Linked DNA regions of Oryza sativa Japonica Group. Each later gene encodes a partner of the first gene's protein in a complex. Links are inferred from orthologs where the notes say so. Each region holds a gene or a part of one and is shown in the gene's direction. Other genes may lie near its edges.

Evidence for each region. Proteins that work in one complex are often made in the same cells at the same time.
Region 2: mediator of RNA polymerase II transcription subunit 33A (region 1) and mediator of RNA polymerase II transcription subunit 17 share a complex: the UniProt entries of both Arabidopsis thaliana proteins name them as parts of the mediator complex. The link is inferred for Oryza sativa Japonica Group from reciprocal best matches to the Arabidopsis thaliana genes RFR1 and AT5G20170.

What each region holds. Positions count from the first base shown.
Region 1 is NC_089041.1:6,111,362-6,115,348, forward strand, and holds the start of mediator of RNA polymerase II transcription subunit 33A, read left to right. Parts: upstream 1-1,187; 5' UTR 1,188-1,310; coding exon 1,311-1,585; intron 1,586-2,240; coding exon 2,241-2,351; intron 2,352-2,887; coding exon 2,888-3,232; intron 3,233-3,982; coding exon 3,983-3,987. UniProt on the Arabidopsis thaliana protein: Component of the Mediator complex, a coactivator involved in the regulated transcription of nearly all RNA polymerase II-dependent genes.
Region 2 is NC_089046.1:28,095,926-28,100,064, forward strand, and holds the start of mediator of RNA polymerase II transcription subunit 17, read left to right. Parts: upstream 1-1,300; 5' UTR 1,301-1,506; coding exon 1,507-1,595; intron 1,596-1,682; coding exon 1,683-1,881; intron 1,882-1,977; coding exon 1,978-2,091; intron 2,092-2,254; coding exon 2,255-2,340; intron 2,341-2,426; coding exon 2,427-2,805; intron 2,806-3,003; coding exon 3,004-3,465; intron 3,466-3,541; coding exon 3,542-3,862; intron 3,863-4,139. UniProt on the Arabidopsis thaliana protein: Component of the Mediator complex, a coactivator involved in the regulated transcription of nearly all RNA polymerase II-dependent genes.

The sequences.
Region 1 (3,987 bases):
CATCGAACACGCTAAATGGAGTGGTAGATTTACACATGATTAATTAAGTATTAGCTAAAAGTATACACATGGAAAATGATAGGGTATAAGTTGGAAAAGCTTGCTGTGTTCTTTGTTCAGAGTTCCCAACCCCTCTACCTCGTGTTCCGTGCGCACGCTTTTCAAACTTCTAAACGGTGTATTTTTTAAAAAAAGTTTCTATATAAAAGTTACTTAAAAAATAAATTAATCTATTTTTGAAAAAAAGCTAATACTTAATTAATCACGCGCTAATGGACTGCTCTGTTTTCTGTGCGTACTGTTCCGGTTGGGAATCAGAGATACCGAACACATCCTAAAAGAACACGACTTTGATATTCCTTAGGGGAATGCTAGGAATCGGTCGCTCAGGGGAGGGAGAAAAATCGGGCGCTCCCTCCTCCCACGACGCGCACTGCCCTGGGCCCCACCACGTCTCTACCCCCACCTGCCACTTATCTCTATCACATACTCCATTGCAACAAATCACCTATATATTTTGGAAACACTCTATTAAGGGAATACATTTCATTTTTTTCCACGAAGAATGTTTTACCTTTTATACCCACAATATTCCACTGTGTATAGATCTAATGTCGCAGTGAACTGAAACATTCTTTCACTATTTGCTGAAACATTATTTTTATATAAGGTGAAACAACGCCCGACTTAAACTATTGAAACATTTTCGATCTCTTAGTGAAAAAATTCCGATATACTTGGTAGAATATCGTGCAACATTTTAAAATAATTCAATAATAAGCTAAATTTTTTTTCATCGGAATATATCTATGTGTGTGATCTTGTTTTGAAGATTTAATTGCAACGAATTTAATGGTGAAATCATGATTTGGATAAATAATTTAAGAGAAAAATTAGTTTAAAGTAGTTTTGCACGCATGCGTCATACTGATGTCAGCGTCCGATTTTTCTCCAAACCCATCGGTCGCCCGACGCGTAGGCTCCTCTTATTCCTTGAATTAGAATAGGTATGGCTACACGCCTACACGCACACAAGATAGATGAGGTGGGTGAGGCGGAGCAGAGGATCCGGCGGGCTGGGACCACCTCGTGTTGGTGCCTGGTGGTGATGCAGTGGGCGAAGTGGTTACACCAACGCGCACCACCACCACCATCTCTCTCTCTCTCTCTCTCTCTTCCTCCTTCCCACCAAACAAACATCCCACGCTTCGTCCCTCCCACTCCACTCCCCACCCCCGCGACGCCTGCGGCGACGACGACGGCGACGGCGAGGAAGGCTGGCCACGGCACGCGGCGGCGAGTAGTCCAGCATGGCGGCGCCCTCGGCGGCGGCGGCGTGGGTGGACTGGGCCGCGGAGTACACCAAGGCGGCCCAGGCGGAGTCGCGCCCGCCCGCGGAGTGGGCCGCGCGGGTGGCCTCCGTCGTCGCCGCCGCCGGGGACGCGCCGTGGTCGCCCGGGCTCGCCGAGATGCTCGCCCGCGCGCTGCTGTATGGCGGTGGCGGCGCGGCGTGGAAGTACGCCGAGGCAGCGCTCGCCGCGGGCCTCGCGTCGCCGGCGCTGCTCCTCGCGATCCTCTCCACCAGGTACGGACGGCGCGGCGCCCCCGCTCCCATCCATTGCCCTCCCCCCACGCGCGCGCAGTGGCGTTTGTGCGCGCGCGCGGGGAGAGACGAATTTGCGTGCGTGGTATCTGACATGGGCTCCTGCTCACGTGGGGTGTACTGTCTGATGGAATCCGCGCAATCGCGATCGGATCAGGCTACTAGTTTCGATCTATGAGATTTCCCTCGCAACCAGATTACCACAAATGCAAGTTGTTCTACAGCGTGGCCTGTACATGATCATAAACAATCTGATGTTTTGGGCCCTGTAAATTTGAGAAGGAAAAGGGATGGTGGCGTGCTTACTGTGCGTAATACCCATAAATTTGAGAAGTATATGAATGGCAGTGTATGTAGAGTACTCGAGTGTGCAGTGTAATGCAGATCAATTTAATACATGTATAGCAGCAGAATACTCTGTTTCATTTTTTTCACTTTTTTTCTTCTCTCTAGAGTCTAGATCATGCTAGTTGGAATAACAAGTGCAGTTTGAAATGTGCTTTTCAGCAGTAATCGTATAACCAACTGGCGAAATCCGTGCACATTTTCAATATCTGCTATGCTGCTGTGGAATGTTCTATAAAATAGAATATAAGACTGATTGCAAATATTCCGTTGATGGTTTCTCTCCATTCAGGGTCATTCCTCACCGGTTCACAAGGCCAACTGCATATAGACTTTATCTGGAGCTCTTGCGGAGACATGGATTCAATTTTGCTTTTCAGATGAAAGCGGCGAATTTCAAAAAGTGAGGTTTCCTTCTATGAGGTGTTCCCAGTAGTTTCATAATGCACGCATTCTATGTTCAGAGGTTTCGAAATATACATCACAGGAACATGTACATCATTCTGAACGATTCAGTACTGTTCAAAAGAATTATATAAGACGGGAATTTTAATACGATATGCTGACAATTAGAGTTTTGGGTGTCTACCACAATACATCTAGACCACCTTATTGCATCTGCATACTGGACATATCAAGATCTGTTCCAAAGAGCAACAATTTGCAAAGGAAGAATTTCACCTGGTTGAAAGGGCCAGTTCTGCAGTGATACATAATATTTTCGGTTGAATTGGTTAAGGTGTCACTTTATATGTTTTCAACTCGCATATAGTTCTTTCATGTTAGTTTTTAAAGAGTTTGTTTCTTGTGACATGTCTGTTCTGTTAGCATCCTATGTTTATGCCTTGTGTAGGTATCTGTCATTCTGTCTGCAACTTATCATTCCTTTAGTTGTCTTCTAAATGCAAAGTTTCATGACACCTTCTCATATTTCCGCAGGATCATGCAATTAATAGATGATAACCTTGGTCTCTCAAAGATATTTGGCTTTTCAACATGCGAACCAGGGGTTTTTGTTGTTGAATTTACCCTTTGCATGTTATGGCAGTTGGTTGATGCTGCATTAGATGACGAAGGCCTGTTAGAGTTGATACCGGATAAGAAAGCTCATTGGCCAACTAGATCAGATGATGTGAGTGCATTTGATGGAACTTTCTCTGAACAAAGAATAGACAAAATTGACAAGTTACAGAAGATGAATAATGTGATAACTATAGAGCTCATTGGGCATCTTCTTCATGACAAAGTAATTACTCATATCCTCTCATTGGCACGCGAAAACATGTATGGCTTTTCAACTTCATGTACTGCTTTACTGAGTTATTCCAGCTCTTTCTTCCTATCACTAAAAACAGTGAATTTATCCCTTTGTTATTATATCAATTGATAGCAACTTAATTTTATTTTAGTGAGTTAATGTATGGCTTAAATATCTCTGTGTTCCATATGCACCATATAATTGAAAACATTCTCTCTATTGGCTTAAGGTTCTCAAGTCAAGCTTCTGTGTCTTCTGAGTATACAGGGTATTGCCAATATTTTTCTGGAATATATCAGATTCATTGTATTTATGGAATGGCTGTACACTTTTATAAAACAACTGTCGACCGCAATGCTAAAATGTGAACTAATAGTACTCTAGAAGGACTACTGGTTGTATGAACAAGCAAGCTTGATTGGTTGCAACTGTAATGTTCAAATGATTTTCTCTACTACTTTATAACCAAGAAGGATCACTGATAGAATCATAGAAACTCTGGCCATGGGGGACAAGCTCTGATATACTCATGCCAATATTGTCTGATATTGCTGTTTGTGTTCATAACTGTACTAGAATCGTACACAAATGAACTATTGGGATAACAGTACATTGGTAGAAGGCATTCGTTTAAACTTCCAAAGTGGGGATCAAGGGCATCCTTAAGACACCACAACTGAATTCACTTACTGTTTTTATTTTTTATTTTTTTGAAAAAGTATGCTACTTTAATTTGTTATTATTACCACCAGTACTAACGAGTCTTGATGATTCAGGCAAT
Region 2 (4,139 bases), on another chromosome or scaffold:
ATGATGCGTTTATAATAAGGGGTAATAATATACAAAGCTGTTGGGGTTGACATCACATGGCACTGGGCCACTGGTAGTAGTAGAATTTACCATGCAAAAAACTGGCATAGGCATGATGATTGCATATGTTGATCTGGGAGGAGTGGATGTGATACAATGACAGTGATATCCAATAAAATGTAAGCTGTGTATCGCTAATGATTTTTCTAAAGAGATGCTGGTATTGATTAGTAGCAATACAATAACACAGCAGCTCAGTAGTTGTGAACAACAGGCCTGTGAAGTGTGAAATTGATGCTTATTTTAGTCTTTCTGAGTATGTCATAAATCAATGAAGCAAGGGAATGGAGAAGAAATGGAGTATATATGGTTATAGCGCTGCATCTGTTGATACTATTATCAAGGCAAATCTATATGCTACCTTTGAAAAAGAGAAAACAAACAAATCGCCAAATTTGTTGTATTTGGCGCATTTCTCTCAAACTTATGGTGTTACGGTGTTACCTGCAAGAATTATGATACGAATTGTTTGCGGTGCTTTTCTTTTTCATGAATAGGGGTCGGAGTTTTATTCTCCGAACCCCCTTGGTCGTCCAGGTTTTGCCAACTCGATCCGGTGGACAGTGGTTTGTCCTCATTGTTTCTTCAGGTTGTGATTGATTGCTGTGAGTTTTGAGCGGATGGTGGCATTGATTGTAAGCTAGTATGACAATCTCATCTGCAACTTGTTTCTGTGATTGGCAATGCTCTGGCACATCGATCCGCGCAAGTAGAAATTCAGTCACTCACTGTATAGTTGGTTTGCAGAGAGATTATCTGAATTTACTTGCTTGCTCAACTTCAAAAGGCCTGGAATTCAGAAGCTGGACTGAAGAATCGACATACTACTACTTATTTTGTGAAATATCCGTCGTCCCTGATACGTTGCAGATTGATCACAACTTGCGGTTGAGTTTGGAATATCATTGCCACCGGCACCAAAGAGAGTTTTGTTCCCTGAAACTTGTGATCCATGGACGAACAACAGAAGAACAGGCCTTGTTGTCTTGTAGGCATTGATAAGAAAAAGCTCTCTGATATAAGCCTTCGTTTTACCATTGCTAGGAGATAATTCCTGCTCCCGAGGGGCCTTGAGAAATGGAAAATAAAAAAAGAAACTCCGGCCCATTCGGAGTAGTGGAAGTCTGGAACTGGTCCAGGCCAGCCCAGCAACATTTACTTGTTAGGCCGGCCCAAAGTCAAAAAAGGCCCATCATACTCTCTTCCAGAGAAGAAACTCCAAAGTCCAGCACCCAAACTCGATCGAGAATTCGCTCCTCCTCACTCCGCCGCCCGACGACCTCGCCGGCGGCCGCCCCCACCCCGCCGGCCGCCGCTTCTGCTTCCCGCGGGGGGATCCCTTCCGCTCTTGAGCGGGACTCGTGAGCCCCAAGGCAGTGCCTCCTTCACTCAAAAAATTGTCTCCGATCTAATTAAGCCCTCCGCCGCCGCTGCCTCGCCTTCGCCATGGAGGAAGCCGTGCGGGTGGACCTCGACAAGCTCCCCATCAAGCGCCTCCACGCCATCGACGAGGCCGGCAACGAGCACTACCCGCCGTAAGCACCAAACCAAACCAACCTCTTCCCTTCCCCTGAAACCCTAACCCCCACCTCTCTCCGTTCACTGAGATTCGGATTCCGCAGCGACACCAGCAGCGAGGAGCAGCGCCTCTCCGCCATCCGCCGCATCGACTTCTCCTGGGTCATCGACAAGGACGCCAAGAAGCCCAAGAAGGACACCGCCCAGCAGCAGCAGCAGCAGGCATGGCCGTGGCAGGGCATGATGGAGAGCCTGCAGCAGGCGCAGCAGGAGCTCTCCGTCGTCATTGACCTCATCTCCACTGTCAGTTTTCCCACACACAATACTGCAAACCCCATTCTATTTGCATGCGATTGTTTGTATTCCTGACAGAGGAGACAATCCTACTTGATAATGCAGGTCGAAGCCAATGATGCAGTGGCAGTCGCTGGGATGCTCAAGCCCAAATCGCTGCCAACCGAAACCTTAGTTGACACCGCAGTCTCTGCAGCCACCAAGCTTCAGCGCGTTCGGGTATGTCACCCTACTGCCTATGTTTGATTACTTCAATTCACGGCTAAGGAACAAAATGGAACCTAAAACAAACTCAATTTGTTTCTGTAATCGCTTGCCACTTTCCTCTTCCGTCTTGCATCTATCATGCTTCCTGTTGTGATCTTCATTTGTGTCCTCGCAGCATTTGTCACGCTACTTCAAACAATCTGCCAAAACAATGGAGCAGCAGTTCCAAAAAGAGTCTAGGTTCTATGGCTCATTAATCAGGCATGTCTTGTTGCTTAACTTGAGTTGTTATTTCAATACCACTTCACCCAAGTTTGCACCATGAATTACTCGCGGATTGGTGGCAGATTGCAGCAGAACTGGAAAGTGAAGCGGCAACGGTTTGGTGGAAGTGGTCCAGGAAGTGAGGGCTTCATGTTTGATCTGATCGACACTTCTCAATTGGACACAGCAGCAATGCCTCGACTGTCATCATTACCATTGATTCCAATTGACCAAGACTCATCAGGCACTTTGTCCGTACAAGTCCCTCAAAAATCTTGCCGTTTCTTGAGTCTTAATTTTCGAGGGGACAGTGCCAATGGTGTGGAAAACTACGGTCATAAACTGAAAGATGGCATCTCAAGCATCACTTCCTCTGAAACAGACAATGATGATGTCAATAAATCCATCAAACATGCACATTCTATTCTTCGCAACATCCACAAGTCAATATTTGAGGAGCAGGTCAGCTAAGTGTTTGCTTGGCATGCTAAGAATTCCTGTATAGAATGCTCTTAATTAAGTTTTAACTATAGCATCATGGAAAATTATTGTATATCATGTGATGACATCTTGCACCACCACCACCCCTCCCTCCCCGGGTTTATCATTATTTATTTATGTATATCGTTCTGTGGCTTAGCTTAGTGTATGCCTTTGTAGGTATTTGATATGGTGATCCGTGAGACATTTGTCCAATCTCAAGGCATCAATGTGACTGGAATGCGTGAAGATTTTCTCCAATTAGCTATTGGTCAGGAATGTTCATTGTGCCTCTCGCTTGCTCATTCTGGAGATGGTAGTGACTCAGAAATGGTAGACCATGAAGACCATGCCAATTCAGAGGATGCCTCAAATCTTGTGTTGGTCACTATGAATGGGAAGCTGGACCCTTTAAGAAAAGACGTGACAGGGTTTCCTAATCCCAGAAGTCTGGAAATTTACTTGCTACAATTGTTTCATGAGAACATTCTTAGGAAGGTCAGGGAGAAATCCCTTAACATTGGTCGCTACCAAAGTCCTGCTCAGGTTGCAGGTGATGATTATGGCCTGCTAGGTCATTTCTGCTTGACAGTGGCTCACAGGATATTTTCTAACAAAGTACTCGTGGAGCTTGAGAGTGTGGTATAGCTCCTATAAGCTTGTTGATGCTACATATTTGCATGTAGATCATTATTTAAATTTCCTTTCTGTATTGCAGGTCAGCAGGGTTCCATATCTCCATTTGCGTTCTCTTCCTACTTGGCATTCTCGAACTTCCTCCTGGTCTCTATGCTTGAAAGTTCCTCAGCCTATCCTTGCTGCAGATCGGATTGCAAAGCCTTCTGATAACCATGAACTTAAGTACAAATCCAGGTCACAGTTCAATACTAAGGTGATCGTGAAAGATAGCCAAATTAGTCTAATGGGTGAAGGCTCCCCAAGCATTGCTGGATCATTGACTGGGAAGCCCTCCGATGGATATTTGGTAAATAGCTACAATTGTGACTTGGAGGACCTCCCAACAATGCTTCTGCAGCAGGTAAACTTCTGATGATACTATTTAAATTATTTCTTGGTAGATCATGTTTATGAAATTATTAAAGTTATTACCATTGGAATTCATTATGGTCCATTGATAATGCAATGAGCCAGACTATTTCTTGCATTGCAAATGTGTAACATAAACTCCTTGCATTTGAATGTGAAATGCACAATGGTAATGCATTTTTCTTAGTTTTTTTCCCTGAGGAAATCTTCATTTGTGCCTATTGACCTACAGGATTAGTTTGCTTAACAGTTCAAAATGAATGTGGCAT